Caenorhabditis elegans: one gene and its partner. The protein of the gene in region 2 purifies or fractionates together with the protein of the main gene of each other region. This does not show direct contact. Each region holds a gene or a part of one and is shown on either strand. Other genes may lie near its edges. The genes, in order: ego-1 and cid-1.

Evidence for each region.
Region 1: the proteins of cid-1 (region 2) and ego-1 purify together in Caenorhabditis elegans (affinity purification with western blotting, with the first as the bait; one study listed by BioGRID). This does not show direct contact.

What each region holds. Positions count from the first base shown.
Region 1 is NC_003279.8:7,644,636-7,661,380, forward strand, and holds ego-1 (RNA-directed RNA polymerase), read right to left. Parts: upstream 11,704-16,745; 5' UTR 11,638-11,703; coding exon 11,530-11,637; intron 11,487-11,529; coding exon 11,322-11,486; intron 11,278-11,321; coding exon 10,903-11,277; intron 10,854-10,902; coding exon 10,713-10,853; intron 10,635-10,712; coding exon 10,500-10,634; intron 10,455-10,499; coding exon 9,273-10,454; intron 9,229-9,272; coding exon 8,851-9,228; intron 8,803-8,850; coding exon 8,691-8,802; intron 8,643-8,690; coding exon 8,200-8,642; intron 8,133-8,199; coding exon 7,659-8,132; intron 7,614-7,658; coding exon 7,434-7,613; intron 7,386-7,433; coding exon 7,247-7,385; intron 7,200-7,246; coding exon 6,670-7,199; intron 6,621-6,669; coding exon 6,251-6,620; intron 6,199-6,250; coding exon 6,032-6,198; 3' UTR 5,706-6,031; downstream 1-5,705. Other genes in the region: rrf-1 (RNA-directed RNA polymerase), read right to left, coding at 1-463, 516-651, 704-883, 929-1,200, 1,246-1,447, 1,503-1,960, 2,008-2,119, 2,170-2,532 and 9 more; F26A3.4 (Protein-tyrosine-phosphatase), read right to left, coding at 12,597-12,719, 12,774-12,881, 12,982-13,081, 13,295-13,644.
Region 2 is NC_003281.10:5,166,403-5,183,215, reverse strand, and holds cid-1 (4Fe-4S ferredoxin-type domain-containing protein), read right to left. Parts: upstream 9,295-16,813; 5' UTR 9,225-9,294; coding exon 9,143-9,224; intron 8,846-9,142; coding exon 8,388-8,845; intron 8,268-8,387; coding exon 8,105-8,267; intron 8,055-8,104; coding exon 7,747-8,054; intron 7,585-7,746; coding exon 6,592-7,584; intron 6,543-6,591; coding exon 6,009-6,542; intron 5,927-6,008; coding exon 5,070-5,926; intron 4,558-5,069; coding exon 4,449-4,557; intron 4,400-4,448; coding exon 3,988-4,399; intron 3,657-3,987; coding exon 3,446-3,656; intron 3,401-3,445; coding exon 3,280-3,400; intron 3,193-3,279; coding exon 3,163-3,192; 3' UTR 2,709-3,162; downstream 1-2,708. Other genes in the region: Anaphase-promoting complex subunit emb-1, read right to left, coding at 9,456-9,569, 9,639-9,770; K10D2.5 (uncharacterized protein), read right to left, coding at 9,980-10,117, 10,164-10,256, 10,301-10,426; prp-19 (Pre-mRNA-processing factor 19), read left to right, coding at 11,174-11,326, 11,423-12,161, 12,225-12,607, 12,657-12,860; ulp-1 (Sentrin-specific protease), read left to right, coding at 13,477-13,516, 13,565-13,666, 13,733-13,869, 14,392-14,694, 14,742-15,023, 15,330-15,482, 15,535-15,632, 15,681-16,412 and 2 more.

The DNA of each region.
Region 1 (16,745 bases), on a different chromosome or scaffold from region 2:
TTCTCATATTCTTCTTTTTCAATTATTTTGAAAAACGGTTCTGCATTTCCATCAGCAGATGCCAATTGTCGTGTTGCAAAAAGAATGAACATGAGGAAAAAGTGATAAATCTTGATTGGTTTTCCATCAAACAATCGTAATGATTCTCCCCATCGCATTAACATGAAGAACACAGAGTCCAACCCTGGTATCATCTCCAGATATATTTTCAGAATGGAAATCGCTTCTTTTGATTTTTCACCGGTAATTAGATGATCGAGTTCACAGAAGTTCTTGAAATCCGCATCGTGATCAATCAAATATTGTTTTCGATGCTCTTCTAGGAAAGTGTACATGGGATTTGCTCCACCAATCTGCATTCTTTCGTTATTCAATACATTAGTCTCCTTGACTTTGGCAATGACGTCATATGCAATCCAAGCAAATGAAAGCTTCCGAACTTCTCTCGTGGATTGAGCACACTCTACAAAGAAATTACAATAGTTCAAAAAATTGAAACAAAAAAATTGAATTACCGTAACAAGCTCGATACCAGGCAACAGCTTTCTTTCTGACCTCCTGATCTGGATCTTCGCAACGGTAATTGAGACAGTTGCCGTTATCGTAAGCATTTGGTAAAAGTGTACATTTTACTGTGAATCCACCAAATTCCTGATAATGGCATAGAAATTAAAAAATAAATAAATATTGAAATAAACTGTACCTCGAAGAACGTTTCTCTGAATTTGCACACTAAAGATGTCATTTTTGTTTCAATCATTTGATTAGTGTTGTAGAATGACATATCATCTTGGTCTTTATCCGAAATTCGATTTCTCATTTCGACAATGCATCCTGACATGATTTCACCTTCCGACCGGATACCGTAGTTTTCCATAATAGACTGTAAAATTTGGGTATTTAAACTTTACTCAGCCTTCAAACTAACCCTGAGTTGTCCGTTGTAACTGGATAATTGTTTTTGAGCACTTTCCATATATCTCTCAAAACCAGTAACAAAGATAGTCTCATCCAGTTCAATATTATATTGTTCATCCCTTTCTTCAGAGATCTTGATAACATTGTCAATTGCTTGAAACTCTCGGAATAGTTTTCCACAAAGCCTTGGACTGACATACATCGGACTTCGTTCATTTCCCATATGAAAGTCAGGAATTCGCTCAGGATTTTCAGGAGGGATAACTTCGAATGTTACGGGATCTGAAAATAGGTAGTTACACCATATTCATGAATACGCATACGTACCGGCCCTCCATTTCGTTTCCAATGGATCTGGTGGTTGTCCAGACTTTGTGAAATCAACAGCTTGGCAATTCTTCTTTGCCAAATCCATACAAACTCTCGAATTCAGCCCATATTGGTCAGAATTGTGAAGATGACTGTTCGAGATTTGTCCAACGGAGTCTAATTTCAGATATGTGACATAAAACTCACGCATCAAGACGTCCTAAATTTGATATTACACCAAAGTTTAAAAAAAAAATGAACAAAAAAAAACTAACAAGCTTCTCTCTATCATATGGTACTTTAATCTTTTCAACAGCAAAATCGAAAGGTTCTTCATTTCTTTCAAGAAGTAATTCCTGATCCCAAATAACAGAATATTCATCTCCATCCAAATCGGATCCAGCCATTTCATCAGGATGAGGCCTCGGTCCATGTTGTGGGAATACTACTACATCACACATGTGATGAAGTTCTGGAATATCGACAGCCTCGAAAATCCGAACATCTCCGGGGACAATACAAGGGTTTTTAGTGAGCAAAACGGTTCCTGTGACAATCTCACTTCCATGAACTTTATTGTTGGAATCTCGCGGTGGAAGTTTTTTCTTGTAATTTTTCGTGTATTGAACGAAGATTTGTCCGTATTGTAAACGTCCAGTTTCATCAACTACTCCGAGCATAGATCGACCAAGTTCACTGGGAATTTGAATTTGCTCTTTGCAAAGCTGTTTCGCTGAAAATAATAAAATTGAGAAATTGAAAACAATTCGGAAAACTCACTGATTGAGAACTTGATGGATGCCTTGATTAGGGAACGGAAGAATGGCTCACTAGACAATGTAAATCCCCACATTGTTCTCAAGTTATCAATATCAATACGACGTGGAAACTCCTGAAAGAGTTCCAAATAAAAAGTTTCATTATTTCATGTTTCAGACAAACCTTTAATTTGTTTCTACAAAAGGTCTCCTCATTCATCTGTTTGGCAAATGACAAGATCTGACGATCCATCAATTCCTCAATTCTGCTCGTAATTCTTTTATGACAATCCAACGATTGCATTTCGGAAACTTGATCAAGAATATTGATGAATGGTTTATTGAGAGCAACCAATACCGCTGACGAGAACTTTACCATTTCGATTTGGTCTCCCGAAATAGCCTTAGCTTGGAATTTAATTTGACTTGGACGGAACAAACATTTCGCCATTTTCATCGAAGTAACACCGTTCACAAGTGCCCATTTACGAATTTCATCCAGAAAGGGTTCAATAGCGATGACTCCTTTATTTCCGCGGAATCGAATCTGCAAAAACTATAGTTACCTAAGTTCACACGAAATTAATTTACCTGGAAGCAGCTAGGAACAGCTTTTCCAAATTGCATCGCTTGGGATACTTCCTGTGCAAATTGATAGCTCATCATTCCAACTCCGTCAGAAAATGTATACTCGCTTCCGTTTGTCGCTCGTCCACCAGTCAAATCGTACGTGCTACAGTAATCATCTCGTCCAAGTCCGACACCGGTTAGCTGAAATTCATACTTGTATTATGATGGAAAGTTATCACTAAAAAATCCATGAAACTGAATAAAAATTAAAAACATACCCTGCTCTGAGTGAAGCATTGACCCAATCTCGCCATCAACTTAGGAACATTTTCAATTTCCGAGAATCTTCCTAATTGAAATCGAACTTCGTCGATTTTCGGCTTGAAGTTTATATTCGATGCTGTCGGATTACATTTGTAGAAGCGATCAAGCTGCTTGTCTGTGAATCTCATCATGAAATATGCTCCATTGTCTCTCATTTGTGAATTTGAGCATCCCAAGAAACCATATTCACGATTTGCAATTCGAACTCCGTGCTCCAAATACTTGTTCGCCGTCCTGTCGAGAAGTTTACCCGTAACATTTGATCTCATTTTCTTATTATTATCATCTCGAAATGTTACTCTAAGCACCCGGGTGCCATCTTTATCGAATTTCCGTAGAACTCGATTTCCCATGATCGTCTCTGGTGCAATGTAGATGACTCTCGTAGGTGTGAAGATAACTTTTCGAACTCGTTGATATCCTTCTATGCTCTCCTTTTCTGTTAAACCATTAACCAGTTTCATAACCTCACGTTTTTGGCAAATTTTATCTAGGCACTGAAAAATTTTTAAAAAAATTATCAAAAAATATGCAAAAAACACAACCTTCAAAATTGATCCGATTCGCTTTCTACCATCAATTAAATGAACGAGATCTTCCAAGGCAGCTTCACACAGTTGATTATCATTCCTGTAGTACCAAATGATAATTTCCAGGAAATTTTTCCAATGTTGCTCATTCAGTAGTAGTTGATCTTTCACAATAGCTCCCCGTGACAACAGACATTCAATCAAATATGTGATAGAAAACTTCCGTTCCTCATTAACATCAATCAATTTATCATCTACTATTTCATATTTCGGTGGGAATATCTGCAAAAATTGATACTCAGATTATTGAGGCAATTCTTTGTTTTTTTAAAGACTAACTCACCTCTTTCAGAAACTCTCTAAAAATGGGCGCATTTGAGTCGGTCGGCGATTTCTTCAAATTCCACCGGTTGTATGGATAGTGACTGCCCATCGGAACATCAATGCTCGGAAGATTCGCAAATTCAATCAGAACTTTGGTTCGAGACCTCAGACGAGACAACACACGATACATTTCTTTTGTCTGAATTAGAGAATAATAATAATAAAAAACGATGCTTAATCATCAAAATCTATCATAAAACAGTAGAAAATAGCTCACTGATATTTCTTTATGGAACTCAATTGTGAAGAAAGGACTATCTGCGATGGCAGCATCTTGTGGATTACCATGATTAACATTTCCATTTCTCCAATCACAATCGAACCGTTTCTGACGCTCATAGAAGGGTTTATGAAACGATGACTAAACAATTAGAATTGTTATAAAAATCTGTGATCAATATTAAATTACCTTATCATTATCAATATATCCTTTCCTGATGAGTGGGGGACAATTAACTTCAAAATGAACACATGTGTTGCATCCTTCAACTCGTGGATCGACAATAATTCGACGAATTGAATCCCTTCGAATCTGAATTTTTGAATTTAATTAAATTTTAAGAAATTCTCCCAGTATTGGATTTGATAGCTACAGCTAAACACTTACTGTTAATTGATAGTTCACTCGAACTTTTTGTTTCCTCGAATCCTCAAACTTCTGTTTCTTCTCCTCGAAACATTGAAATTGTACTGTTATCATATCAGTTTTATCGAATTCAAATTCGGCGTGTATCTTATGCAACATATCTCTTGACGATATGTTTTCGCGTGAAAATGAAACCTGCCAATGATTGAAATATGTGCCTCCTTGTATATTTCCAAAATAAATCGCAGCAAGTGGAATCTCTGTGTGACAATCGAGAGTTCTCAACCAAAAATCGGAACCATGAAGGACAATGTTAGGCCGCTGATACGGAACGTACACATTCTGAAAATAAAATTAATTCGAAATCGTCCAATATGAATTCAAGTACTCACCAAATCTGATAAATAATCGTGCATAGCATCTATAATTGTGTGATCAAACTGTTCGCTCTCAACTTCAAAGTTTATTTCAAAGAAGCAATCGCAGTCCTGTTCTTCAACAATTTGAGTTTCTTGACGGGATTTGATTTCGATTTCGTATTTACGAAGAACCTAGAAATATCATAATAATTATTAAAACAAGCGTCATTTTTTTAATCGAAAAATGTCCAAAAAATGAATTAAAATTCTCAAAACCATGACGCACTGAAGTAAATGTCAGTAACATTGTATCGATACTTCCTTCGATGACTTGAAGCGAGTTATCGAATTCCGGAAATTCAAATTTAATGAATCCATGACTTCGTTCCGACATGACGAGGAGTCTGAAAAATTTTATACAGATAAATTTTAATGGCCAACGCACGAAAAACAAGGTTTTATGGAAGACAAACAAAAATAAAGATTTTTTAAATTTGCCATCGATCAATTGGATATTTAAATTTTTACTGTTATACAACTAAAAATAACTATAAATTAGGTTCTCATTAACCTTCACTTTGAAATTTACAAAAACATTTTTTGAAAGTTAACAACCCGCTGAAATGCAAAAATCGGTTCACTGAAAAAGACGCTGCCCGTCGGAGACGCAGACAGCTGAAAAAGACACTGTGGTGACAATGCAACAGTGAGCAAGTATCGTGATTATTATTCCGTAATTTTATTTACGGAAACTCATTTAAAACTATTTTCTAATAATAAAGAAATTTAATTTCATCTCGGAAAATTGAGCACCTTTAAAAAGTTGTATATTTAAAATGTTTTAAAATTTTTCTGATCAAAAACAACTGCATTTCAAAAATGTTGATTTCAGTCGAGAAGGAAAAAAGTTCGATAGTTTGGTCCAAAATTCAAACAAAATCGACAGCATTTCAATTTTTCAAGAAATCTGGCTATATTCTATCCAATAGGAAAATCATGTACGAAAAAACGCATATAACAAATAAAATACAAATATCGGATTCGTAATAAAACAGACAATTCATTGAAACAGATAACCGAAACGCTGAAAACGATGAAAAGAAGGAGAAACCTATCCATTTCAATCAATCAGCAAAAGAAACAACAGGAAAATATAATGAGAAAAAGAAACAGAAATAAGCATGCCAATTAAAACATGCAAAAAAAAAACAGAAAAATAAAATTTAAAATGAAAACCATATTAAACATTTAAAATCTCTGAAAACACTGCTAAAAACGAATAAGAGAAACATTCTAGATGTTGATGTGTCCTCTGACAATCTTTTCATAGCACAATCGAGCCATCTGTGTAGACACATCTTGTCCCGTTACGTACGTTTTGATGGGAACTTTTACAGCAACCAGTTGACGCAACTTGTACATTGACTCGAGAGTTCCACGTGTAGAAACCAGAAGACGCACTATAATAATTTGAAAATTAAATCTGTTTACCATTCGATTTTGTTAACTCACTATTGATTTTTTGCACATCATCCGAAGAGCGAACTGATTTCTCCATGTTTCGCATGAATATCTCTTTTACACCAGTATGCTCTACCAGCTTGCGATGAACCAATGAACGATCACAATTGGCTGGTAATTCAATCACGAACGGTTCGTTTTCTCGAATTATTGAACGAACTGTAGTTGTTGGATCAGTTGACACAGGAAGTTCTTCGAATCGTAAATTGAATAACACGTTGTAGTAGGTTTTGAGTGCGGCCAAATGGAAAATTTGCCATTCTCCTCGCATGAAAATTGATGAGAAATCAAGAGCACAGAATGAGAGATTCGCCATTTTTCGGAACTTTCGCGAGGCCAAAAATTCGAGAAACTTCACCATCTGAAAACAGTCATTATTATAAAAAAAATAACACAAATATTCTTCTCACCATCTGACTTTTTCCTTTTTCCTCAATATATAAACTGGGCTCAAAGTCTCCAATTGTTTTACTCTGCTTGTAACTTTTCTCATCGACCTTATTGAAGAACTTGGCAGCATTTCCATCAACGGAAGAAAATTGCCTTGTAGCAAACAGGATAAATAGCAGTGATAAATGATATTCTCGAAGTGATTGATTTTCAAATAGATTTGAAATCCGTGCCCATTCGTCTAACATGAATAAGACTGCATCCAATCCTGGATAAGTTTCTGTGTACATTTTGATGATTCTATGAGCTCGTTTCACTTGTTCTCCACTAGTTTTAGGTGTTGAAAATTGTCGAAAAGCTTCGAATTTTCTCGAGTTATCGACAAGATACTGAGATCTGTGGTCGTCAAGCATTGTGTACAATGGATTTGCTCCACCCATCTTAACTTCGTCACTTGTAAGACTTTTGTCTTGTTTCACTTTTGCGATGACGTCATATGCGAGCCAAGCGAACGACAATTTCTTGTTTTCTCGAGTTATTCGAGCTTCCTCTGAAATTAAAATAGTATTTATTTTTATTTCAAGTTATCCAACTAACCATAGCAAGCTCTGTACCAAGCTACGGCCTTTTTCATCATCTGCACTGTCGGAGCACGACATTGTCGTTGAAGAATATTACTATCACGTCCGTAACGAGAGAATGCTTCTGTGTTACCTTCCCAGCCGCCTTCGAATTCCTGAAATTACGCATGTACACATATGTAACTGGCTTAGGAAAGCTTTACTTCAAAAAATATCTCTCGGTATTTCTTGAACAAATTTGTCAATTTCGTCTCGATCATCTGGTTTGTGTTGAAGAATGACATATCATCTTGATCCTTATCCGAAATTCTGTTTCGCATGTCAACAATGCATCCTGAGAAGACTTCACCTTCTGTTTTGATTCCATAGTTTTCCATCATTGACTGAAAAAACATGGTCATCTTTCAACTATTTCTCCTAAAACTCACTCTCAACTGAGCATTATATCTTGCTAAATCGTTTTTTGCACTAGCCATATATTCCGTATATCCATCAATTTTGATAGTTTCATCTATAGAAATCTCCACTTGCTCGTCTCGTTCTTCCGAAATTTTGAGTACATCATCAATTGCTTTGAACTCGCGAAACAGTTTTCCACACAATCTTGGACTGACATACATTGGAGTATGGTCATTTCCCATGTGATAATCAGGTACTCTTTCAGCTCTTTCAGGTGGAATCATTTCGCCAGTTTCTTCATCTTTTCTCCATTTCCTTTCAAGTTCATCAGGTGGTTGTCCAGACTTAGTGAAGTCCACAGCTTGACAATTTTTCTTCGCCAAATCCATGCAAACTCTTGCGTTTAATCCATATTGGTCAGAATTGTGAAGATGACTATTCGAGATTTGTCCAACGGAATCCAATTTCAAGTACTTGACATAGAACTCACGCATCAAGTCATCCTGAAAATATTATTTATTGCGACTAGAATTAAATATATTTATGTAATCTCGTTAAAACGAAACTCACGATTTCATCTTCTTTAAAGCTCGCCTTCTGTTTCTCTGAAGTGAAATCATATGGATCTTCATTTTTGTCCAGAAGCAACTGTTGATCCCAAATGATAGAATATTCATCTCCATCCAAATCAGATCCAGCCATTTCATCAGGATGAGGCCTCGGTCCATGTTGTGGGAATACTACTACATCACACATGTGATGAAGTTCTGGAATATCGACAGCCTCGAAAATCCGAACATCTCCGGCAACAATGCATGGATTTTTGGTCAAGAGAACCGTTCCTGTAAGAACTTGTCGCGCAGCGTTTTTGGGTGGAAGTTTCAGGGCCAGATTTTTGGTATACTGTACGAAGATTTGACCATATTGAAGACGCCCAGTCTCGTCAACGACTCCAAGCATTGACCGTCCGAGATCACACGGAATGGGAATTTGTTCTTTTCGGAGTTGTCTGGCTGTAACAAATATGGTTTGTTTAAAAAGCTTCATTCGTTTAAACTTACTGATTGAGAACTTGATCGATGCTTTGATAAGAGATCGGAAAAATGGTTCGCTAGACAATGTGAATCCCCATGTTGTTCTCAAGTAGTCAATATCTACGCGACGAGGTAGCTCCTGAATAATAACAGTAATGAGGATACTATCAGTAATTTAATAACAAACCTTCAGTCGATTTCTGCAAAAAGTTTCATCCACCATTTGTTGGGCAAAAGAAAGCATTTGTCTGTCCAGTAACTCTTCGATTCGATTTGTTACTCTTCGATGACATTCCAAGGATTGCATTTCCGAAACTTGATCGAGAATATTGATGAATGGCTTGTTTAATGCCACTGGAACTGGCGATGAGTACTTGACGATTTCCACTTGATCACGTGGGTGTCTCTTTGAAATAAATTTAATTTGACTTGGGCGAAACATACAGTTCAAGCTCCACGAACTGTCATCGCTCGGTTTGCTGATATTATACGAAATTGACCACTGGCGAAGATTGTCAAGAAGAGGTTCGATTGAGATGACTCCTTTCATTCCACGGAAACGAAACTGAAAAAAACTATTAAGAAACACCAAAGAAAAGATTATGGTACCTGAAAGCAGCTGGGAACACCTTTTCCAAAATCCATAACTTCTGAGACCATTTGAGCAAATCGATAACTCATCATTCCAACTCCATCAGAAAACGTGTATTCATCTCCTTTCAAATTTTTTCCTCCAGTCAAATCGTACGTTGTCATATACGTGCATCTTTCCAAATTCACTCCTGACAATCTGCTTTGTGTAAAACACTGTCCAAGACGAGCCATCATTTTTGGAATGTTGTCAATAGTCTCGAATCGTCCCAAATTCTTTCGAGCAGCTTGGATCTTTGGATTGAAAGTGATTGGTGGTTTGATTTGATATATCCGTTCGTATTCTCTGCACTGTGATGATGAATATTTTTCCATGAAGTAAGCACCGTTATCTCTCATTTGTGAGTTCGAGCTTCCTAAATAGCCGAAATTACGACCAGCAACAGTAATTCCATTTTTGAGATATTGATTGACGGTTTTTTCAAGCATAGTCGAAGTTTTATTCGTTCGCATTTTCTGATTATCATCATCTCGGAAAGTGATTCTTAGAACTCTTGTTCCATCATGGTCGTATCGTCGCAGTACTCGATTTCCCATCAACGTCTCCGGTGCCACATAGATAACACGAGTCGGTGTGAAAATAATCTTTCGAACTCTTTGATATCCCTCTCTCATTTCTTCAGTTGTTAATCCATTAACCAGACTGTTTCTCTGTCTCGTTTGACAAATTCTATCGAAACACTTGATCAATGATCCAATTCGTTTTCTACCATCGATCATGTGAACCAAATCCTCAAGTCCGGCCTCACAAAGTTTGTCATCTTTCGTGTAGTAGTGGAGAATCACTTCAAGGAATCGGTGCCATATTCCTTCATCAAGCAAAATTTGATCCTTAACCACTGCTCCTCTCGAAATCAGACATTCCAGGAGATAAGTGATGGCGAATTTTCTTTCCCTGTTGGTGTCAACTTCTCGAGAGCCACATACTTCATGTTTCTTTGGAAATGCGGTCGTGATGAAATCTCTGTAAATAGGCGCAGAGAAATGAGTGGGCGACAGATGTTGATTATTTAGGAATGTCCAACGGTTATAAGGATTCTCTCTCCAAATGAGACAGTCAATCGAAGGAATGTCCGCGAATTCAATGGAAACTCCAGTACGGATGCGAAGTCTTGAAAGTAAGCGGTAGATTTCATTGAGCTGGAATAATTACACGTAAAAACTTGATGCATATTGAATTATTACCCCAACAGATTGATCAAACTCGATTGTGAACACAGGACTATCCGTTATTGCTTTAGCTGTTGGATACTGATTCGCGCTTCGTCCACGATTGATCACCAAATATCTTCGATAATGTGGGACGGAGTGCCGATTTTCCTGAAAATTGTAATTAACATCTTATTTCGATATTTCATAATCGCGAAATTTCATGGTTTACGGCTTGGGTGTGCTCACCGATTCCTGTTTTGCCGTTCGGTAGGCTCTTCTAATGAGAACAGGACAATTAAGTTCGAAATGTACACGAATCCGATCCGAACCATTACAATCTTGAACGACAGGATCAACAATAATCCGACGAATAGAAGTTCTCCTAACCTGAAAGTTTTTGTTATGATTTTTATTCCCAATTCTATTGAAAACATACTGTAATCTGGTAATACATGGTAACTGTTTGTTTGGTCCTCTTCGCATCTTTATCAGCAACCTCAAAATCATTTTCAAAGTGCTTGAAGTGAACTGTCATAAAATCAATTTTATCGAATTCGAACTCCACTTTGATTTGGTTCATTCCAATTTTATCGGCTTGTGTTGGTTCAGTATTCCTCGTTCTTGCCGACTTCCGACGTCTAACGTCATCCCAGAAAGACACTTCCCAATGATTAATGAATGTTCCGCCTTGAATATTTCCAAAGAAAACAGCGGCAAGCGGAATATCAACCAAATGACATGTCAATTCGGAAGACCAAAAATCGGAACTGTGAAGAACGAGATTTCCACGTTGGAATGGCATAAGATGATCCTGGAAAAGTACGAATACGATAGAAAGTTTCGACAGCAACAAACCGTTGATAAATCTTTTAAATATGTCTGGATCGCCGCAATTAGATCATGTGAAAACCTGCTGGTCGCAACTTCATAATTTGTTTCATAAAACGGCTCACAATCTTGCTCTTCGACAACCTGAACCTGTCCTTTTGTCAAAACCTTGATGTTGTATTCATTCAATGCCTAAAACAAAAAAAATGATTGATGAACACATTGTCTAACTTACTGGCTCTAATTTTGCTACATGGCATTTAACTATGGGTCCCATTTGCCGCTCTGGCAGAGAACAGGGAATTTCGAGTTTAATCCATCCACGATAACCTTCGTCCCCCATTGTTGCGAGGATTCGGGATAATTTTTGATATATCTTAGGCTAAAATCGTTTTGAGGTAGATGGTCTGTAAGAAAAATATTACAATTTCAACATTTTAGACCATGGTTACACGGATTTTAAATTTTTAGATAAAAAAAGAGATTTTCTGGTTAGAATTGCAGCGTTAAAAATATTCGATTTTTTAAAATTACGTTTCACTAGACTAAAGCATCATGAATCATATAAAATAAATGAGAAAACAGAAATATTTGGGCATTTGGGATGAAAATTGATTCAAATTCGAAAAACGTTTCTGGCGCGCTATCGTATCTGCCCTGTTCGTTGCGAGACTTGTAGTTCACAACGATTTAAGCTCCTTTGAAGGCAGCGGCATTTTGAAATCGAATTTCGAATTATTAACCTTCTTCTTCGCAGTTTTTAGCTATGAGCGAGAAACAAATAAGAAAAAAGTGGCACGCGTTATAGTTCAAAAATTTCGTTGTCGCGGTGAGACAAGGGCTGTTGTCTTTTGGGCTTTGGTTTTTTTGGCAAAAATGGGAGAAAAAACTTTCACAAGTTAATTTTTAGTCGGGACGAGGAATTCGATTTTTTTGTATTTTTATTAGTCCAAAGTCCGAATAGTTTTTAAATAATCTGCATCTCCAATTTTTCTAATGATTATTTTACGAGAACTTGTGTTTGAATGGAAATTCGCAACATGAAGATAAAATTAATAAATCTCAAAATTTATTTACATGGCACCGGAAACTACAGATTTCGACCCGTATTTCTGATATAATTGAGAGAGGAATAGAATAACATTTGAAAAGAAATTGAAATTGAACAACTAAAGCACTGACCCGTTTCAGGGAAAAAAAGTGGTAATTGCGCCTAATTGGTGTGCATGGTGGGAGGTGGAAAGGGAGGAAAACAGAAAAAAAACAAGAAAATATGATATGAAATATGGAAAATAATGATAATCAGCAAACAGCTTCAGCCATTTCCATCACAGGTTCAAGCACTGGACGGAATTTAGATTTGAATCCAGAATTTCGGCGTTCTCGTGGCTCATCTGGGATCATATTTGGATCTTGCTCCGGGCTCTGAAAATTAAAAGGGTCAATTTCTGTAGTTTGAAATATGATTTGTAAACTTACAGCTGGTCTAGCTGGAATTGCAATATTAAGATAAACATCGGGAAGTAATTGTTCTGGTTGAGCTTCATCTCTCACCAATCGAACAGAACCAGCATTTTCTTTGACGTTCTGTAAGATACAAATTATAAACTTTGGACCTAATGATAAGAAAATAAGAATGATCAAACTAGATTTTGAGTGTTTATGTCTTTAACTTTCAGTTACATACCTGTTCATAAGCAATAAGTTGGCGCCAGAAACCAAGATTTGGACGAACCATTGAACGCTTTGATTTCATCAAATGATAAGCTTCACGAAGATTTCGGCAACTGGAAATAGATCAAAAATCAATATGTGCATTCTATTTTAGTTCATGGGAAAACATCAGATTCATTAGTTTTTGTTTTCCGGCACGTGCTCTCTTCCCATTTATTGGATACTTATGATATCACATGAAAGCACATGTCCAATAGAATTTATAATAGGGGAAAGCACTGAGTTTCTGGACTATTTTTGGTTCTAACTAAAACAAGATGACATACCGATATTTGAGCAAGAAAGCCAAACAGATGGAAGCAGAACGTGACACTCCGGCGACACAGTGCACGAGAACTTTTCCCCCATCAGCAATGAGTGCTTGAATCTGATCAGATTGAAGTTCAAGATGTGGATAGATATATGTCTGTGGAGTATCTTCAAGCCAAAGTTTTGTACGTTGAATGTCTCCAAGACTTCTGAGATTTGGAACTTCTGTTGTTGCATTTATGATATGTGTGATCTTATGTTTCTTCATTTCATCTTTGCTCAACGCAGAAACTCCACAGATAAATAATCCCGGAACGATTTCTGACATGGCCGCATATTCTGGATTTACACGGAAAGACAGTGTCATTTTGTAGTGTATCTGTAATCATATTAAATTTGATTCGAGTACCAAGAGGTTATCAATGAGAAAAAAGAAATTGAAACGAGGGGGCACGTGACAACAGGGAATGATGTTGAGAGATGTATTGAGATAAGAAGATTGTGATAAGAGTGTGAACTTTGGGAGAATTAAGTGTTTCGGATGAAATGAAATGGAAGGAGAACGAAGAGAAAACATGTGGTTAAAATTGATAATGGAGAAGGAACGATATTTATATTTCGTTTTTACCTTTTTGGGGAAACATTTTGAACTCAAAATTTGCAAAGTTGTGAAAGTATGTACGGTAAAAAGTTTACCTGATGAGGCCTATACCTACTTTCCTAAAGTGTGCCTAGGAAATCACTTCGAGCTTTGACCAAAGATTTGACATAAAAAATCAAGAAAGAGAAACCAAAAAGGAGAAGCACCCAAAGAAGGGGAAAAAAAAGAAAAAAAAACAAAGATCATCGCGGAGAGATTTGTATTCGCCTTCTTCCTCTACACTGCAAAATGTATCTGACATATTCTTCTGAGAAGAAGCATGTGACGCTCACATGTATTTTCACTCTGTTGGCTCTCCTCTCACACTCTGCGACTCTATACTCTATGACCTTGATTAGTTGCTTTGATTCTATCCTGGCCCCATCTTCACGAATCGAAGAACCATCTGTTGAAGATTGAGAGAAAAGTTTTATCGGAAGTGAATGATTAAAAAAGATAAAGTTCAGAGAGAATGAGAGAAAGAGAATGAAAGACTGAAAAATACTTGTTCAAGAATCAAAAAGGATGCATGTCCTCCCATAGAGGAGGAGCCAAAAAGTGATAAAATACAAAATATTATGATGGTTTTGATGACCACTCCCACCAGGAATATATAGACATTGATTGACTTTCGGTCGTTCAGTGCTTTTGTGTGACCCCGCCTCTCTCTTGTACACACGTGATTGTCTGTACGTGTCGATTGAGAGAGAAGGCAAGAAAAAACTATCAACGACTTTCGAAAGTTCCAGTTTTGGGACAAAATAGAATAAACACAGAATACATAGCACAACCAAAAATGATTAGAAGATTAGAAAATCAAGGGAAGAGGCGTGGTTCCAACGACTGTAGTGTGTCTGAGAGTCAGAGAGAGAGCTCACACGAGCTCTCCGCTGAGCAGTTGTTCTTTCATCTGATCAGTGATATGTGTATTCGGTGGAGCTTGAAGAAAGGCGGGATTGAACAATGGGGGCAAAGGGTATCCAGTTACGACTATCATGAGAGTTGGGACGTCATCTAAGCATGTGTTCAATTAACTGAAATTAAATGGAAGTCACAAAGGACATTGAACTAGTAGAATTCATTCATCGAAATGTGTCATGGGAATTTAGATGATAGAAAAATTATTAAGACTAGTCAGTTCATTTCAGTTCAACTAATCAAACGCGAAATAAAATATTTTCTATAGTCCTATATAAATTGGAATTCATGAACTTTGACAACTCAATTCGAAAAATTGAAATTTGAGTTTTTAAAATTGCATAAAACTGTACCGCACATCTAGTCTACATTTAGTCTACATATCTACATGTACCCACGCGCTGACTGCTTCTGAGTCAGGAGACATAGTTCACTTTTTACACTTTTGTTTTGATGGTAAACGTGCCGAAATGGGTACTAAAAATAATAGTTTGTTGACGTTATATTCTTATCTTCCTGTTCAATAAACTCTTGATCTTGCTAGCTTCAAAATGAATATAAGCTTTTGAATAAGTCTACCACATGATTTTTTTTTTTTCGTTAAATTGTTTATAATTCTCACAATCAGATGTTCCAACCGCCCACTTCTGAAATAGGAGAACTGATCCAAACTAGAAAAAAACGTGCGATGGGAAAGAAATTGAATAGTTTTTTTCGCAATGGTCGAAATTCGCACGCACATGAAAAGAAAGACAGTCACATGTCACTGTGAGTCGACCTCAATTCAACATGGGAAAATGTTGGAGAGAGTGAGAGACGTCAGAGATCATAACTAAATTAGAAGATGGCAATGGAGTTTTTCAGAAAAAGTTTTGGTACTTTCGCAATTTTCATATATTTGTACTCAAAGGTGCACGAACTCATTAGGATGAGTGATAAATATTTTCGCGGCAAGACCAGTCCGAATATATAAATTTACAAAATTACTATATGCGGAGGCTTGTTTAAAAAATTCTGAGGAATATTTCCATTGTTTTTTCCTGATTTCACATTGTTTTCCATCTTCTCAAATTTCATGAACAACTACAAAACAGCTGATTGGAATATTATAAACAGAAAACCGAGACAAAGAAAAACAATCGTATAGTCGGAAGCTTGTGATTGTAGTTTAGAATATAATTATGAATTTGAGGGAGATGTCTCATGATTCATCGAGTCTGATTTATGGATTCAGACGCACTCAGGAAATTAGAAATGGTCGACTGAACGTCAAGATTCTATTCATAGTTTGTCAAAATATACTGAAATTGGGTTAAAAAACTAAAAAAAATTTTTTAAAAGAATATTAAAAATTTTCAGACCAAGTTTTTACAAGTCGCCAAATTTGCCAAAAAATATGGAATTTTTGAGAACCTTAAAGCATTAATGCATATCCGAGTATCTACTGTTTAATTAAAAGAATTAAGACATAACTGGAATATAAAAGCTATAGATAAATAAGAATTGGGTTGAGTTTGTACTATTCGTAGTTTGAAATTCAAAGTTTAAAATATTTTGAAATCACCCGACAAATGCTCGTTCCTTGTGGTTTGGCCAGTCAATGTCTCTATATCTCAGAACCCTCCGCGATTTACCTACTATTTCTCAAAGTTCGAAAGTTCTGGCCAGAGTTGAGTACACATTGAGGAGGAAGAACCAAAAAGAACTTGGTGGTTTGAACTGATCTCAAAAGAGAATGGATAAGAAACAAAAAAGACAAAAAGATCGTGTTGATTTGAAGAAGTAATTGATTGACACGTTGATACAACATTTAATCAATGGGAACACAGATGGCGTGTTCAGAATGAAAAGAAGAAGTTCCACAACAATAACCACTGCATCAGTCACTCCAAAAAAAGAAGGCGTTGATA
Region 2 (16,813 bases):
TCAAATTAAAAAAAAAGAAAACTTGAAAACTACTATATAAATCAAACAACAATACTTTTCATCGGGGGAACGCCTAACGAGAGAGATTGTGAAAAAGAACACACAGTTAGTATTGACTGCGGAACCAGCCAACCAATAAACAACAAACAACTCGCTGTGTCTTATCAGATAAAAAGAGAAAACAGGAAGAAGGTGAAATTCGAAACCGTATACGAACCACAAAACTTTAGAAGTGTAACACGCCAACGTGCTCAATTCAAGAAAAAAACCAAATATAGCTCATGATTTACATATATTATCCTAGAATAAAATGACGTGGTACACACTGACAATTAACCTCTTTCTCGAGTTCTACACACACCTGCGCACCAAATGACACCTACTTTGCACACAAAACAATGCAATTTCGGCGCAAAAATAGGAGAAAACGTCTCTGCAGGCTGAACGTTTGGAACACATCAAAAATAATAGTTATGAGTGGTGTTCTGATGGAGAAAAACGAAAAACACGGAGAACGACATAGAAGTGTGAATGTTTTTGAATTCTTATCAACTTTATAAAAGGGAATAGGAAAGAATTTTAGGTTTGAGTCAATCTGAATCGGCCAATCAAAAGCTGAGAATGAGCCCTTGGATACTAATATTTTGCGTGTCCATTAAATTTTTTGGCGAGTCCATCTAGAGTGAACTTTTTAATTTAGTGGAAAATATCGACTTGATTGATAAAATATTTGAGTGCCGCAAAGTAGCGATCAAGGATTAAAGAGCATCGTTTTCGCTAGTGTCAGTGTTATAAAAAACAGAAAAACTCTTTGCACTCAAAATCTAATACCGTTCTCTCAAAAGATGGGAAATATTCCGAGACTAAACTTTTTCACAAAATTTTAGGCCAAAATTCAAAAATTCATGACTAAAAAATAGGGCTGCGATGAAAATCACGAAAATAAAATCGATTCGAAGAGCAAACAGTCTCTTTCAGAGCAGAAAGGGTTTGAAAAGTCAATAATAGAGGGTCATTTAATGTTTTTAGTGATTTCAAGAGAGAAGAATATGAGAAAACATGAATAACATTGATTTCCTCATATTTTTAATCAAACCAGAAATGCACCTGCCGCCTTGAAAGAAAACGGCTGATCGGCGGCGATAAAATCAGAAAAGTTTTGGTTTTTGTTAACGAAAAAAGCAATGTCAAAACGTCGATGAATTTTTTTGCTTGAAAAGAGATCTATCTGAATCAAATTCAATCGAAACTCGGCATTTTTAGGATGTGAAAATGAGGGAAATTCGGGCGGAAAATATGAGAAGACCGGCAAGAGAGTGTGTCAGATCAAGAGGGCGTAGAGAAAAAGAGACTGTCGACAGGCCCAATGAGAGACCATTCTGCGCTGAGAGGTGGTCGAGGAAACGAGAGAAAACCAGAAAACGAACATGAACAGTCCGATCCAAAAGAAGAAGAGAAGAAAATGAGTTGTGGAAATGAACAAAACGAAGTTGAAAAATAAGAGAAAACTGTAAAAAACGAACAGATCAAAACGCAACGAACGAGCAGGAGACACAGGAGAAGAAAAACACATGTGTATTGGTTTACTTTGACAGAAAAAAGAATTTGGCGCATTTTGGTCAAGATCGTCTACAAGTCCGGACGGCACGTTTTGATCTATTTGTTGTCTGGTCTCTCTTGCAGTTTGCGCACTGAGAGGAAACGCACCTCATTGCGGGAAATGACGTAACCCATTGCAGTGTTCAGCAGTTTCTTTCGAATTCAACGGAAATTACAACGAAAAGTATTATTTCGTTTGAGAAGTCAAACAATTTTCAATACAAAAACGAGAAAAACATTCGCGCGATGATCAAAATAGAAAAAACCGGTAAAAAATTCATTAAAAAGTAGAAGGTGGAAATGCGCTCCATCGCGAATTTCTCCGCCGCTAAATTCAAAAAAGATAATAACTTCCTCGAAATTAACATTTAATTGAGCTTAAACTCGCTTGATCAAAGCTGGAAACGATAATTTAATTTAATTTTCAAATTATTGGCCAACATTTTGAAATATTGCATAAAAAATAATGAGATACTTTTCCTCAAATGCATTAAAAAATTAATTCATCGTCTGTTCGCAAAAACTTGAAACTGGCTGCTAGAAGTTTTATAAAAGTTTTAATATTTATAGTAAATTCAGGCTTATCTGTAGAGTTTAAGATATACACGTTCATAAACGTATTATTCAATTTAAAAAATCGTAAAATGGTGGTAAATTTTTACGAATTAACAATTTTCTGAACAGTGTTGAATTAGAATTTAGTGAAGTTTTTCCCAGATAAAAACAGAATTTAGTTGTCCTTGGCAGCCAATGGTGAATTTTTTTGTAATCAGGGAATCAAACAGTTGATAACGAAACATGCCAACTTGTACAGCACGAACATGATCCAAGAAAAGTGATTAGAGACTGAATGGGCGAAAAATCGAGAGCATTCGAGACGTAGACATCAGAAGAAAACTGATCGGTTGCTTCTCTCACACAATTTTGCCGAGTAAACACATTCATCCCCGGGTGCCCGGGCTCCCGATTGTTTCGTACACTTTCTAGACCCTCTCACGGTTTCCTAATGTCTTGTTGCTTTACTATGCGAAAGTGAAAAAAAAAAGAAAGAGTGGGATGTGGAGAGACGTTGGCAACTGGATTTTTAGGGACTTTTGAGACAAAAAAATCATGGGGAAAGTTTCATTATGAAAAAAAAATTGGGTGGGAAGACTGTTGGTGATAGTGTCCAAAATGGACCCGTTAATGGTGCAGAATTGTTTGGATCACAAATAACACAACAGAAAACGAACAGAAAAAGTACAACAACTCAAATGTGATTCCTAGATTTAGGAAGATTCTTTTTAAATTATAATTCAGAGAATTTGAAAAAAGAAAAACAAAAAAAAACACGGATCCTAAAACATTTTGGGAGTAGGGAAGAACGCTGGAAGGCACATGATAAATGATTAACTAGGGGAACGATGAAAGCAAGAAAAAAATTATAAAGATGATTATAGTGGGGGAATGGGGAAATAGAACTAGAATATTCTTCTGGATATATACGTATGTATACACATTCAGAATAGTTTTCGTGGGGGTGAAAATCCAGTTTGTTGTGTGAAGTGAATGGGTGGAGAGAATTTATTTGTTGTACGAGCGATGATAGTATGTCTGAAAATATTTTTATGTTATGAACGTAGAAACTTGCTGAATAAAAGCCAACAAGAGTGTTAAACTTAAAAAAATATTAATTAATACCCTTTTGTGATAAGTCAGACGATCGCCACCTTCCTCTCCATTTTTGAATCCTCTTCCACTATCATTTGATCGGTATGATGAGTTTGTCGAGTTTGATCCAAATCGCTTCCGGGCTTCTTTTCTGAAAATTGTTCATTAATAAAATTCTACTTCTGCTTTAACATACGCCAGGGCTCTTTGCGGACACGATTCTACAAAATGTCCTATCCTATGACATTGATGACATTGACGATCAGTTGGAGCGGATCCTTGATTGCATTTTCGAAGTAACTGGTGTTGATATGATGATAGGAAAGTGTGATCTCGATTCATCGGTGGTTTCTCAGACATGAAGACTGCTCGTGAGTTGATGAACACTTTCATAATGAATACGAACACTGAAAAAACAAAAATATCAGTTTCATTTTGAAATGCTCAAAAATGTCTAAAAGTCAGGAATAAAAATCTAACTTTAAAAACAAGACTTAATAATTTTATAAGATTACTTTTGAACTTCCTTAAAAATGAGAACTACGATTAATTAGCGACTCGCTCCGCCCACTTTTGAACCAATCAGACGGAATGGGTGGAGTTCGAAGGCGCTGATTTGTCGTGCAGTTCTCATTTTGGAGGAAATTCAAACAGGAAGATTGAACATTTTTTTAAACTAATATACATCATCTGATTCTGAACATCTGAACATCTGATATAAATCAATTGGCAACATACTTTTCTTGTTAACACCGCTGCTCAGATTATGGCTCAAATCGAATGGATCCTCTACACAAAGAGGTCTCGGCCACTCTTTTTCCATTTTCGACAATATCATTTCCCGTCGACATTGAACAACAAAATTCCGGAAATCAAAACGCGAATAATAGTCAAAGTATCCAATGAGCAGCTGAGCACACGATTCTTTGTTTTTAGGCCAACGTTGTAGCAAACTGGTCTCAACTTGAGCAAATGACGTATCCCAGTTGTCAACGAGTCGTCTTTCCCGATTATCACTTCGAAAATCTTCTTGAAGGCGTGGAAGAACCGGTGGATCACAGTTTTGAAGATAAGAAATGAGCATGATGACGTGACAATATGAGCTCAATGATCCACGTGATGCATCTCCGATTTCACAATTTTTGGCCCACTGGAAATTAGAGGATGAAATTTTCAAAAGAATAAGAAAAACTAGCTACAGTCTTCACAAAGAGAGCCAATTTAGCAAAACGTTTGTCAGGCGTCCACAATGAATATTCTTTCAGAAGAGCTGTGTTGTAGATTGCCAATATATTGTAGTAGGAGATACTGAAATTTAGAATAATTTCAGATAATGACAATTATCTTTCATCCACTTATTTTCTATATTCCTAGTAGTTAAAAAATCAATTTTTTTCTAAACTCTTATATATGTGAAAATCGTAAACCTCTGAGATGGTCTCGTGTCGATTTACGCAGCTCGTGTACTCCCCTTGCACGTGGTGTCAGGCTGTCCCATTACGGTTTGACCTACAAAAAATGCGGCAATTTTTTCCCCAAAAAAATGTGACGTCAGCAGGTTCTTAACCATGCGAAACCAGTTGAGAACTCTGCGTCTCTTCTCCCGCATTTTTTGTAGATCTACGTAGATCAAACCAAAATGGGACAGCCTGACACCACGTGCCCTTGGAGTAGTGTACATTGTTTTTTTTTTGGGATTTTACAGTTATTGACTATGATTCTTTTTCAACTAAACACTATAACTACGAGTCAAAATTTTTTCGAGATTTTATATTTTAAAAATTCTGTTCATTTTGAAAAATTAAATCTTCTAAACTTACTCGACATCAATAATTGCTCCATTGGAAAGTTTCACTTGAAACTTGACAATTGGCACTTTTGCAGTGACAATTGCTTGAACTCTCTTTACCAAATGACATTTTCTGAGAACGGATTCAGTTTTCTGAATAACTTCTTTTGCTGTCAAATCCTTTGGCGGAACATCTCCATCTCCGAATCTCAAACAAATATCAATATCTGAACAATTGACACTTAATCCTGTCATAACACTTCCAAATGTTGTAAGAGTGACATCTTCACGATAGTTTTTCCTTAAAAATGATTGAAGTTCATCAATCTTGTGATCCAACATTTTGAGCCGTCGTTCATCAAGAATATTCTCATGATAATATTTATCAATCATATCATCAATATCTTTCAAATCTTCGGGAGTTCTTGCTTGATATTTTTTAATCGGTGGAATTTCCATCATCGGGCAGTTTTCAACACAATGACTACCATCACAATGTGTACATTTCATTTCCATTTCAAAGTCTCCACAGAAAAGATCAGTTGAGAATTCATAATGAAAATCTGATGGTTTTAGACTTTTCGATTTGGATACAATATCCTTCAAATTCGAATTCAATTTAATGAAAAACTCTTCACTGCAGAATTGCTTATCGGGGATTACTGTGGATATCGTAGATTTCCCAAATGTCGCATTTTGTTTCACAGGTTTCTGAACAATTGGAGTTTTCATTGGAGATTCAGTTTCATCGAAACTGGATTCCATCATAGATTCATTCATTAGAGATTCTTGTGGTGCTTCTATGAGATCACATTGAGGTTGAGCAACATTTTTTATCTTCACTGGTGCTTCATTTGATAATTTCGTGATGGGTTCCGGCTTGATTTCCTAAAAATTGAGTAAAAATTAGTTTAAAAAAATCAAAAGTTACTTGTCAGTGATTAATTAAAATTTCAAAATCTGAAATTACCGTGGAAACAGGCATGGATGTTACTGCAACGTCAATATTCTTTTGAGAAGAAATCTTGAGGGTTTCCTCCAATTTTTCTGCAATTTCGGACACATTACTATCAGCTGCTTTCGTCTTTTCGTCTATTTCAGAAGAATCTTCCGATAAAATGATGACGTTCGCCTTCTTCCACCGATTGATGAATTTCTTTCCTTTTTTCGTCACAAAACTCAATCCATCCATTGATGCTGCCATTTTTCCATTTAGTCCTGGTTTGAGAACTCTCTTGAATCGCAAAAGTGAATTTCTACCATAAACACATTCTCGATGATCATCAGTGTGATAATCAATTGGTTTTCGTTCATTCACTAAGATTCCATCAATCATCAGACGTTCCTTGAGCTCTTTCATATATTTTAGATGATCTTTATCATTTACAATCTCATATACAGGTTCTTGATAATGTTCTTCCATTATTTGAGTCAATGGAATGGGTGCCTCCACCGTTGCCTTTTTTGGAGTATCCTTGAACTTTTTTCCAGGTTTGATAGTTTTCTGGAATAATAGATATAAAAACATCAAACAAAAAAGAAACCAAACTTACATTATGAACAAACGAAACTTCAATTAATGGTCCATTCTTGGTTCTTGGAATCGAAAACGATACAAATGATGTTAGGAGACAATTGAAAAAGAATGGTTGCCAAGTAGAAACCTTTGGTATTGAAAGAACATTGTCACCACGGAATGGATCAACAACATGAAGAATCTTTTTATTCCAACGGCTCACATCTCGACTCATTGGAATAAGCTGTGTAATTTGGATGACTACGTCCCGATGTCGTTCAACATAATACCGAAAGAAGCCAATGAAGAGCTCAGCTAGATTCCAAGATTTCTTCAAGTCGAACTTCGTACCAATCTTTTCAGTATTCTTCTCATATCGAGACATCAATCTCATTCTACGTTGCCCAGCTTCTTCCGATTGAAGTTTTGCTGTCTTTTCAGCACTCATTTCTTCAATTTTCTCAGTTTCTGGACCTGCTTCAAAAAGTTCATGAAGTACTGGAAGGCATCCGATCTGCTGAAGAAAATGAATGGCCATTATATCAAATCCATATCGAGGAAGTCCGATTCTAGGCTTATTTTTGGAGTCAAGGCCAGCTTTCGTTGCCCAAAGACGAATAAGTTGAAGAAATTGAGCAACTTCCTCTCGTAAATTTACATAGGTCTTCATCAATTCAGAAAAATGAAGTTGTATACGATGATTGAAACATGACATCCAACAAAGTTTAACTCGAACTCCTTTGAATGTAAATATAATTGTTGACGGTGTTCCCATTTCCATGGAATGATCAGCTGGATGTCCATCATCGGCAATCTTCTTTCGAACTTGTTCAAGTAATGCAAATATTGGAGTTCCTTCAGGAATTGACATAGTATATGCCACATTGTAATCACTATCCGGAAGTGTGACGTCATATGTTACAGATCCAAATGGTCGAAGTATCACATCTTGCAATCCAATCGATGGGAATACTGTAGTACTCAAGTAATAGATGATTGTTTCACCGATCTCGATTCCATTTTGACGAACCTGAAAATACTTGACGAGAGAAGGGTTAGTTGAGAGAAAAATGATCGAAACCGGATAGAAAAAACGAAATTTTATTTCTGAATTTCAGCTTTTTAGAGAAAAATCACAATTTATCCTCCGTTAATTTCGTTTTTTTCCAATCCAGTTTCAAGATAATCTAACCTGTTGATACGATTTCAATGTTCCTTCCAAAACTTTTTCAACACTCTCTAAATGTGCTTCAGTCGGAGGTGGAATAATTTTCAAAAGATGCTCCCGTTGTTCCTGTCGCTTAACATCATCAAAATGTGTACTGCTCTCTAAGTGTGCTTTTGCGTGTCCGATTGTATTAATATGATAATCGCACTTTTCGCAATAGTATATGGCCTCTGGGAACGCTTCTAGACGATCGACAAGTTTCTTGATCAAACAAGAAGTCAGAAATCCCTCAGAACACTTTGAGAATGGAAATCTGTCGGATGAAGACTTTGCTGAAACTGTTGAGAAACAGTGAAATGAAATCGGAAAACTCAGTTCAAACCTTTCAAGAGATTCTCAATAGTTTCCCTGCAAGATTTTCTGATCGTCTTTTCATCTGCATCCAATTTCAACAGAGCTCCAGTTGTGATATTGTCATCTCCATGTTGTAATTTTACTTTGATGAATAGTCCATTGCACTTGCTCGTAGTTGGAGTAATCAACAGCTAAAAACTTGACTTTTAAAAATTAATTTCATACATTTTTTTGCTATTTTAAAGTTTAAAGTACGAATTTTGTTCTATTGGAATACAGCGAATGATTTTAATTTTTTATTCACAACTAACCGTAAAATTGTTATCAATTTGAATAGGTACATTCTTTTCCAACGGAAATGAGCTCATTGGATACTGGACAGTCTCTTGAAATGTTTGAGCCGACACGGCTGACCCGGCATTTTTGGAGAAATAATACTCTTGCGTCTGTTTTTTGTTGGCTTCTGCTTGTCGTCCAGCAACATTAATCGTTGTTTTCTCTGGAGTAGTAGGATTTGAATTCCATCCTTTCAATGAAGCTCCCGAATCGCCCAATTCAACAGCCATCAATGGTTGTACAGCGGCAACCAAGGGTCCTGGTGGCGCATTCCGATTTATTGGAGATGTTGGCTGAGAATCCTGATTTCGTTTCAGAATTGTGACTTTTTGAGGAACGATGTTCATTGGAGGACGATTTTGCGATGGATTTCTGCTCGTCTTTTGGGAGGAGGAAGCCGAATCAGCTGGACTGTTTGATGATCTTTTCCGGCCTGTAAGTTCAATGTTAGTTCAATATGAAAATTAAGAAAAAATGAAGAACACTCTGTTCGAAAATTGCTATAAAGTTTTCACTTTGTTTGATAAGAAAGTTGATAAATAAATAAAAGTGGCGTTTCTGCTAAAACTGTTCAATAACTTCAGGATTGATAAGGAAAAAGTTATAGTAGAGAGTGAATCAACGGTATTTTTGAATACTAAGAACAGTAAAACCTCAATCTTTAAGCAATACGAAGGGCCTAATATACTTCATTGTATGAATTTTTAAAAATGATTAGTCATGAACTCACCACTATTCTGGCTATTTCCTCCCCTTCCACCTCCAAGGGCTCCTCCTCTCCGCCTACTTCCAGACCTTTGCTCATCGGTCATCTCACAACTCTTTTTAATAATTACAGTACAATATTAATACCTATTATTCGGTTCGTCTTTCCCAATGAAACTGAAAAGAAGCGATTGAATAAAATCTGGAATAATTTGAGAACAAAATATTAAATTAGGTAATAACGAGGTCAGTACCTCGGAAATGAATTCCATAATTAAAAAAAATGGTATGCCAAATCGAGTTTTATTTACAGATAAATATGGTGTAGAATAGGGAATTCAAGGATTTGCAGGCATATTTGCTGCTGCATGGACAGCGTTCACATGACGTTGATCTTCACGAGTCAGAATAGCCACACTGTCTTGCAAGTGACGCAGAAGATCTTGATTATCCTGCAATAAATTTAGAATGAACAACAATGTACTTTTTCAGAAAAGTGTGATTTTGAAATAAAAACGTACCCATTGAGCTTGACGGTGCTCACAAATCGTGGTGATGAATGACTCTTTTGCTGGTGAGACTTCGGAAACCCACAAGTGCTCGGACCAGTTGAGTGGAGGTTGTGCTACGTGGAATGGGTACATCAAAGCCATACTTGATCTGTAAACGTGGTTTTTTGAATCAAAGTCATCTAAAAAACGGGCAAAAGTAAAATGAAGGTTGTTTCAGCCTATAATAATAAGAGATGTAAAAAGCAATGTATGAAAAAAAATAACCGTTTTATTTAACAACAAAAAAACACGATGTAACTGACACAACTTAAACAACCCGAAATTTGATCAAACTCCCGCTGAGATTTTAATTAATTCTTCAAAACGTGTCCGACGAATGGATATTTCCTAGCACAAATCGGTGCCCATTCAGGTCCACATCCTTCACTACTCTCGAAAAGATCGCGGTTGTTGTCATAGAGATCTTGTGAGCCAGAGAGGTCGTAAATCTGAAATAAACTTATTTTTTTGATAATCCGAAAAGTATTTTATTACTTTGTCTTCCACAATGACCAGGCACCTGTTCTCCTCGCGGCGCATGCTTTCGATTTCTTCCATTGTCATATCACGCTCTTCGAGCTGTTCGATCTGAGAAACAAAAATTCACATCCCAAGATTTATTTGCAAATTACCTCATATTTCGCTGGCTCATTGATTTTTGCAACAAGCATCCTTTTAACAATTTTATTCAAAGCCACGAGAAACACCACAAACACCGCAACATCGATGAAAGTGAGCTCATATTCCCCGATTTGCATTTTTTGGGAAGAAAATTCAAATCCAAATTATTTTTTCAAATCGTTTTTATTCCCCAGTCTCATGGCCGACATTTCTTCGGCCCCGCCCGGAAAAGCTGCAGCAAGTACGCTCCACTGCAGTTTTTCGAATTCTCATTGCATGGAATTCCTGAGACACCACGGTTTCAAGATCTGGTGGGATTCTCCGTTTTCCGGATCTACCATATCCGGATCTACGTTTTCCGGATCTACGTTTTCCGGATCTGGCACCGTGCCAACTCTTAAAACGCTATTTTTTCGAAGAAAAAAGTGACAACGACGCTGCGATGTTACGCGTCGCGTGTTCTTAAGCGTTTCTTCTAGAAGAAAATTTCGAAAAAAGTCGTGCGTTGAAAAGCGTTTTGTGCGTTGGCACGGTGCCAGATCCGGAAAACGTAGATCCGGAAAACGTAGATCCGGAAATGGTAGATCCGGAAAACGTAGATCCGGGATCCCATCAGATCTTGAAACCGTGGTGTCTCGAATTCCTTTGACTTGAAAACTTGCATTTTTTCATGAAAAACTGGTTAAAATTCTAGATTTTCTTTTAAAGACAAGTTTAAAACATTTGATCCAATGCGCCGTTCGATTAGTCACTAGCCAGAGTACGTATTTATTGACCACTCGTTCGATAAATGTAATTATCCTACAAAATTCGCATTGAAACTTTCTTCGTTTATGTCCCACGTCAATCAAGCGGTTTCGTGTATATTTTGCTACTTTCAGGAGATGTCTTTCGTGTGCGGAATCAGTGGTGAACTGACCGAAGACCCAGTCGTCTCTCAAGTCTCAGGGCACATCTTTGATCGTCGGCTGATCGTTAAATTCATTGCCGAAAACGGAACAGATCCGATCAGCCATGGAGAGCTTTCTGAAGACCAGGTTTGTCAACCTTGCAATTATCTTCACTGACGTGAAACTTCGAAATGATAATTCATTGAAAAAACAAAATAATAATTTCTAAAATTCATTTTTTAGCTCGTTTCATTGAAAAGTGGCGGCACTGGATCAGCACCACGCAATGTCTCTGGAACATCCATCCCATCTCTACTAAAAATGCTTCAAGACGAGTGGGATACAGTAATGCTCAACAGCTTCTCTCTCCGACAACAACTCCAAATTGCTCGTCAAGAACTTTCTCACTCTCTGTACCAACACGATGCCGCTTGTCGTGTTATTTCCCGCCTCTCCAAAGAATTGACCGCTGCTAGAGAAGCATTGTCTACTTTGAAACCACACACATCGGCGAAAGTTGACGATGATGTCAGCATTGACGAGTCTGAAGATCAACAAGGTCTTAGTGAGGCAATTCTGGCAAAACTTGAAGAGAAATCAAAGAGTCTGACTGCTGAACGTAAACAACGAGGAAAAAATCTTCCTGAAGGACTTGCCAAAACAGAAGAGCTCGCCGAGCTGAAACAGACAGCATCTCACACTGGAATTCATTCGACTGGAACTCCTGGAATTACTGCATTGGATATCAAGGGAAATTTGTCACTTACCGGAGGAATTGATAAAACCGTTGTCTTGTATGACTATGAAAAGGAACAGGTTATGCAAACATTCAAGGGGCATAACAAGAAGATCAACGCAGTTGTTTTGCATCCGGATAATATTACTGCAATCTCTGCTTCTGCTGATTCACATATTAGAGTCTGGAGTGCAACTGATTCGTCTTCGAAGGCTATTATTGATGTCCATCAGGCACCCGTTACAGGTGAGATATTTGAAAAAAATTCGCTAGCTGTAATTCTTCTATTGAACAAACAATGTTTTACAGATATCTCCCTCAATGCATCCGGTGATTACATTCTCTCCGCTTCTGATGATTCTTACTGGGCATTCTCCGACATTCGTTCCGGAAAATCGCTTTGCAAGGTTTCAGTTGAACCAGGATCACAAATTGCCGTTCATTCCATCGAGTTCCATCCTGATGGTCTTATTTTTGGAACTGGAGCTGCGGATGCCGTTGTGAAGATTTGGGATTTGAAGAATCAAACCGTGGCTGCTGCATTCCCGGGACATACTGCTGCCGTTCGTTCGATTGCGTTTTCTGAAAACGGATATTATTTGGCTACGGGATCAGAGGATGGAGAGGTCAAATTATGGGATCTTAGAAAATTGAAGAATCTGAAAACTTTCGCTAACGAAGAGAAACAACCGGTAAGAAATTGTTAAGCAAATGTTTAATGAAAAAATATAATTTTTTCAGATCAACTCCCTGTCCTTCGACATGACTGGAACATTCCTAGGAATTGGTGGCCAAAAAGTTCAAGTTTTGCATGTGAAGAGCTGGAGTGAAGTTGTATCACTTTCTGATCATTCTGGACCAGTCACTGGAGTTAGATTCGGAGAAAATGCTCGTTCATTGGTGACGTGTTCATTGGATAAGAGTCTCCGAGTATTCTCTTTCTAATTGTTTTTATTACCATTTATTACTAAGTTATTCAAAATTTCACCACATTTTTCCCGTTTCGTTTCCTTGTTTTTTTTGTATTCCGGATTGTTCAGTCAAGTTGAAAATATTCCCATCTATAGAAAAGCTGACAAACTATTATTCTTTCTCCATCTCTCGTTACCATATATTATCGATTCCAAAAATTCTCCTTTTCACTGTGAATCAACAAAAAAAAAAGAGTTGATTGGCTGTCTTCCTGTGGTGAGATCTCTTTCTATTTTTATCTATTGGATTTTATTTTGTTCACATTTATCTTTTTAACAGTTCAACTTTTCTCCAGATTCCCCAAATTTTATTCATTTCATTCAAAAATGATCTGCAGCCAATCTCCTCCGCTTCTATCCCATTCATCTATTCTTTTATTAAAAGTAATTTATGCAATAATTGAATGATTACGTACTGCCTAGAGGTTAATTGCCTTCTTTATTTTGGCTGAAAAACTTAAAATGTTGCCCTTTGTGATAGTATTTACTATAGCAAAAATCTTTTAAAGCAGCTAAAAACTATATTTCAGGATAGCTACTTGAATCTGGAACATCAAAAATAGACGATATTCGATTGAAAGAGAAACGGAATGTCACGTAGGTCTGATTTATCAGACAAAGACTCTCAATGTAGGAGAAGTGAATGAAAAATAAGCTGAAATTAATTAAAATATTTAGCAAGAAAACGACATTGGTTAACCGATCAAGCTGTTACAAACGAAGAAAAAGAGCAGTCGCCAACAAAAAGAACCAGAAAAACGAAATCTCAAGGATTGGGTGGTGAGTGAATCCTTTTCCTTGATCCATAAAAGTATAAATTTGAAATAGCGATCTTCAACATTTCAGGGCTTTTCAATACCTTCTTCGGAATGTTCGTAAGCAGTAATTCGGGAGAAAAGGAGAAAACTGAAGTTTCGGGCGAAGTTCAAGTTCAAGAGGATGATGAAATTATAGTGGAAGGAACGACGAGGAGAGTTGCTGAGGTATATTTTGAGAATAAATTAACTTTCGGAGTTAAGTTCAGCAAATACCGTATATTCTCTATTAGTGCTGCATGCAGCACTAATTTCCAGGCCCTTTTTTAATGCAGCACTATTAGAGACTGCAGTACTACTGGAGACTGCAGCATTAATTTTCGAACGGCTATTTTCAATTATAGATCACTAGTTTTTAATCACAAAACCTCATATTTTAAGCAGAAATTCATAAAAATTGCGAACTTTTGTAAAAAAAAGACCCAATAATTCAATTACTTTCCTAAATTATCAAAAAATCATAAAATATACAAAAAAATACCCAAAAATATCGAAACTGTCAAGTGACTCTTTCAATAGAAAATGGGGTGCAGCACTAATAGAGACTGCAGCACTATTTTTCGGACCCTTTTTGAATGCAGCACTATTAGAGACTGCAGTACTACTGGAGATGCAGCACTAATAGAGAATATACGGTATATAAACCCCCCCCCCCCCCCCCCTAACTAAACATGACCACAGTTGTTACAGAACAAGAAATATATGATTTTTCTGAACGAAGATGCACCTGTGAGAGCCAATGCTGGATCAGAGGAAAATGAAGTTATCATTGAGAAACATGTTCAAAAAAACGTTGAAATTCGGAATGACGAAGAAAAACAAGAAGTTCAAGGAGATTTAGTGCTCACCTTATCATCTTCCCCAAAGTCGCCAAAAAATTTGGAAAAGTCATTTGAAGTACAACAGGATGATGAGGAACCAGACGTTCTTTTCGAGAAAGTAGTCAAGACACCAAATAAGCAATTGCAAGAAGCAAGACGATTTCAGAATGAGGTATTAGTATTCGAATAATTCTATTATAATAAATTATCAAACTTTAGTTGATCTTTCTCAACGACAATCCAGACACACCAGACGATGTATCAGTTATTTCTGACTCTAGGAGCAAAGAATTTATCTCACCGACACCCGATGACAGTGTTAGTCGTCCGATTACTCCGAGCTTATCATCATTATCAAATTACACATCAAATAATGTTCGTGATTATTGGAGACGGAATTCTGCTAAAAAGCCAGAGGTTTTGAGACGGGTCCCTGTTAGACATCAATTTAAGCACTCAACTTCTGTTCGGAAAATGAACACGATTATTGATTTAAAGAAGGTAATTATTTCTTTATGAAGCAGAGAAACTAATGTGAGAAATTACAATTTTCAGTGTATCAAACTGAAGCTTCAGAAATTAATTCTAAATGCCAAAAACTTCTTATTATTAAACTTTATAGGTTTTTTTAAAAACCATTTTGGAAGATTTTTCTTCCCAAATGGTCCGCAAAACCTACAAGATTCAATTTTTTAACATTAAAATTGATTTTGGAACGGATACATTAGACGATTTTGTTATTTAGAATTAATTTCGGTCCACTGTTTTTATAGATAATTATTTATTTTTAAGGTTTAATTATTTCAGATAAAAAATCACCTGTCATCTCGCGATCGACTTCTTCAAGGAGTTGTTGCAAGTGGACAATACGAAGCTAAAGCGATTTCTGGAATTGTTGAAAAAAAACCGAAGAAAATGCAGAGAACATCATCAACTGACATATTAGCCAGAGCGAAGAATGTATGTTCAGGATATTACTGTTATTTAAAACTTTCTGATCTTTTTTCTTCAGAAAATCGCAGAATTGGGAGGATCCCGAAGCAACACCCCTTCACTCTTATCAAGAGAACCATCCATCATCATTGATAGCGAAGAGTCCACTTCTTCAAGGTATTTATTTAAGTTTTTCATCAATTCAAGCAATAATATAAATTTAAGTTACCGCCAACACGCCCGATCAAATTCGTCGGAATCTGATTCATACAGGAAACTCAATGATATTCTCTCGCAAATTAATAGCCTTGGAATCGGTTCCGCATATCGAGGACCGCAGAGATATCAGAATTCTTATCAATTGTCGAAGCAGAAGGAGGATAAACTTCTAGAAGAGGCTCGGATACGAGAAGGACATCGCTCTCAAACAAGAGGTGATCGATTGGAAGATGTTCGGAAGAGACTTGAATTGCAAGGAATCGCTATTCGTCCGAAGGTGGAGAAGAAGAAAGTTGATGATTTTATGGCTTTACCTGATGCTGCTGATGCTCTTGTAGAAAGAGCATGGAGCGGAGGGAATCCAAATGAACAATTTGTGGATGCATTCAGCATTCAGATCTGTAAAAAAGATCTTGCAACATTGAGTGGATTGCATTGGCTGAATGATGAGATCATCAATTTCTATCTTCAATTGATTTGTGATCGGAGCAATGGCGATTCGAAATATCCAAAGATCTATGCATTCAACACATTCTTTTATTCCAATATTGTTTCAAAAGGATACGCGAGTGTGAAACGATGGACAAGAAAAGTCGATATCTTTGCATTCGACATCGTTTTGGTGCCAGTTCATCTTGGAATGCATTGGTGTATGGCTGTTATCGATATGGGCGAAAAGAAGATTGAGTTTTATGACTCTCTTTATGATGGAAATACAGCCGTTTTGCCAGCATTGCGGTTAGTTTTTTGAGTGTTTTTGGTTTTTATTTAAAAAACTCACAGAGAATATATCAATAAATATTTTATATTTCAGAGGTTACTTGGAAGCTGAATCATTGGATAAGAAAAAGACAGCAATGAACTTTTCTGGATGGACAATTCAACAGATGACGGTATATTGAATTTTAAAAAAATTAAATAAAAAAAAGGATTTTTACTTTAAATTTATTTCTGAAAAAAAGTTTTTTTTTAGAAGTCCAGATGTTTGGCTCAATCACTCTTTTTTTGATATCTATGCTCTCTAAAACAACCAGTAATACTTCTGAAATTACACACACAAAAAGATCTTCAACACGCGATAATCATCTTGTTTAGGACATTCCTCGTCAACAAAATGGCAGTGACTGTGGAGTATTCTC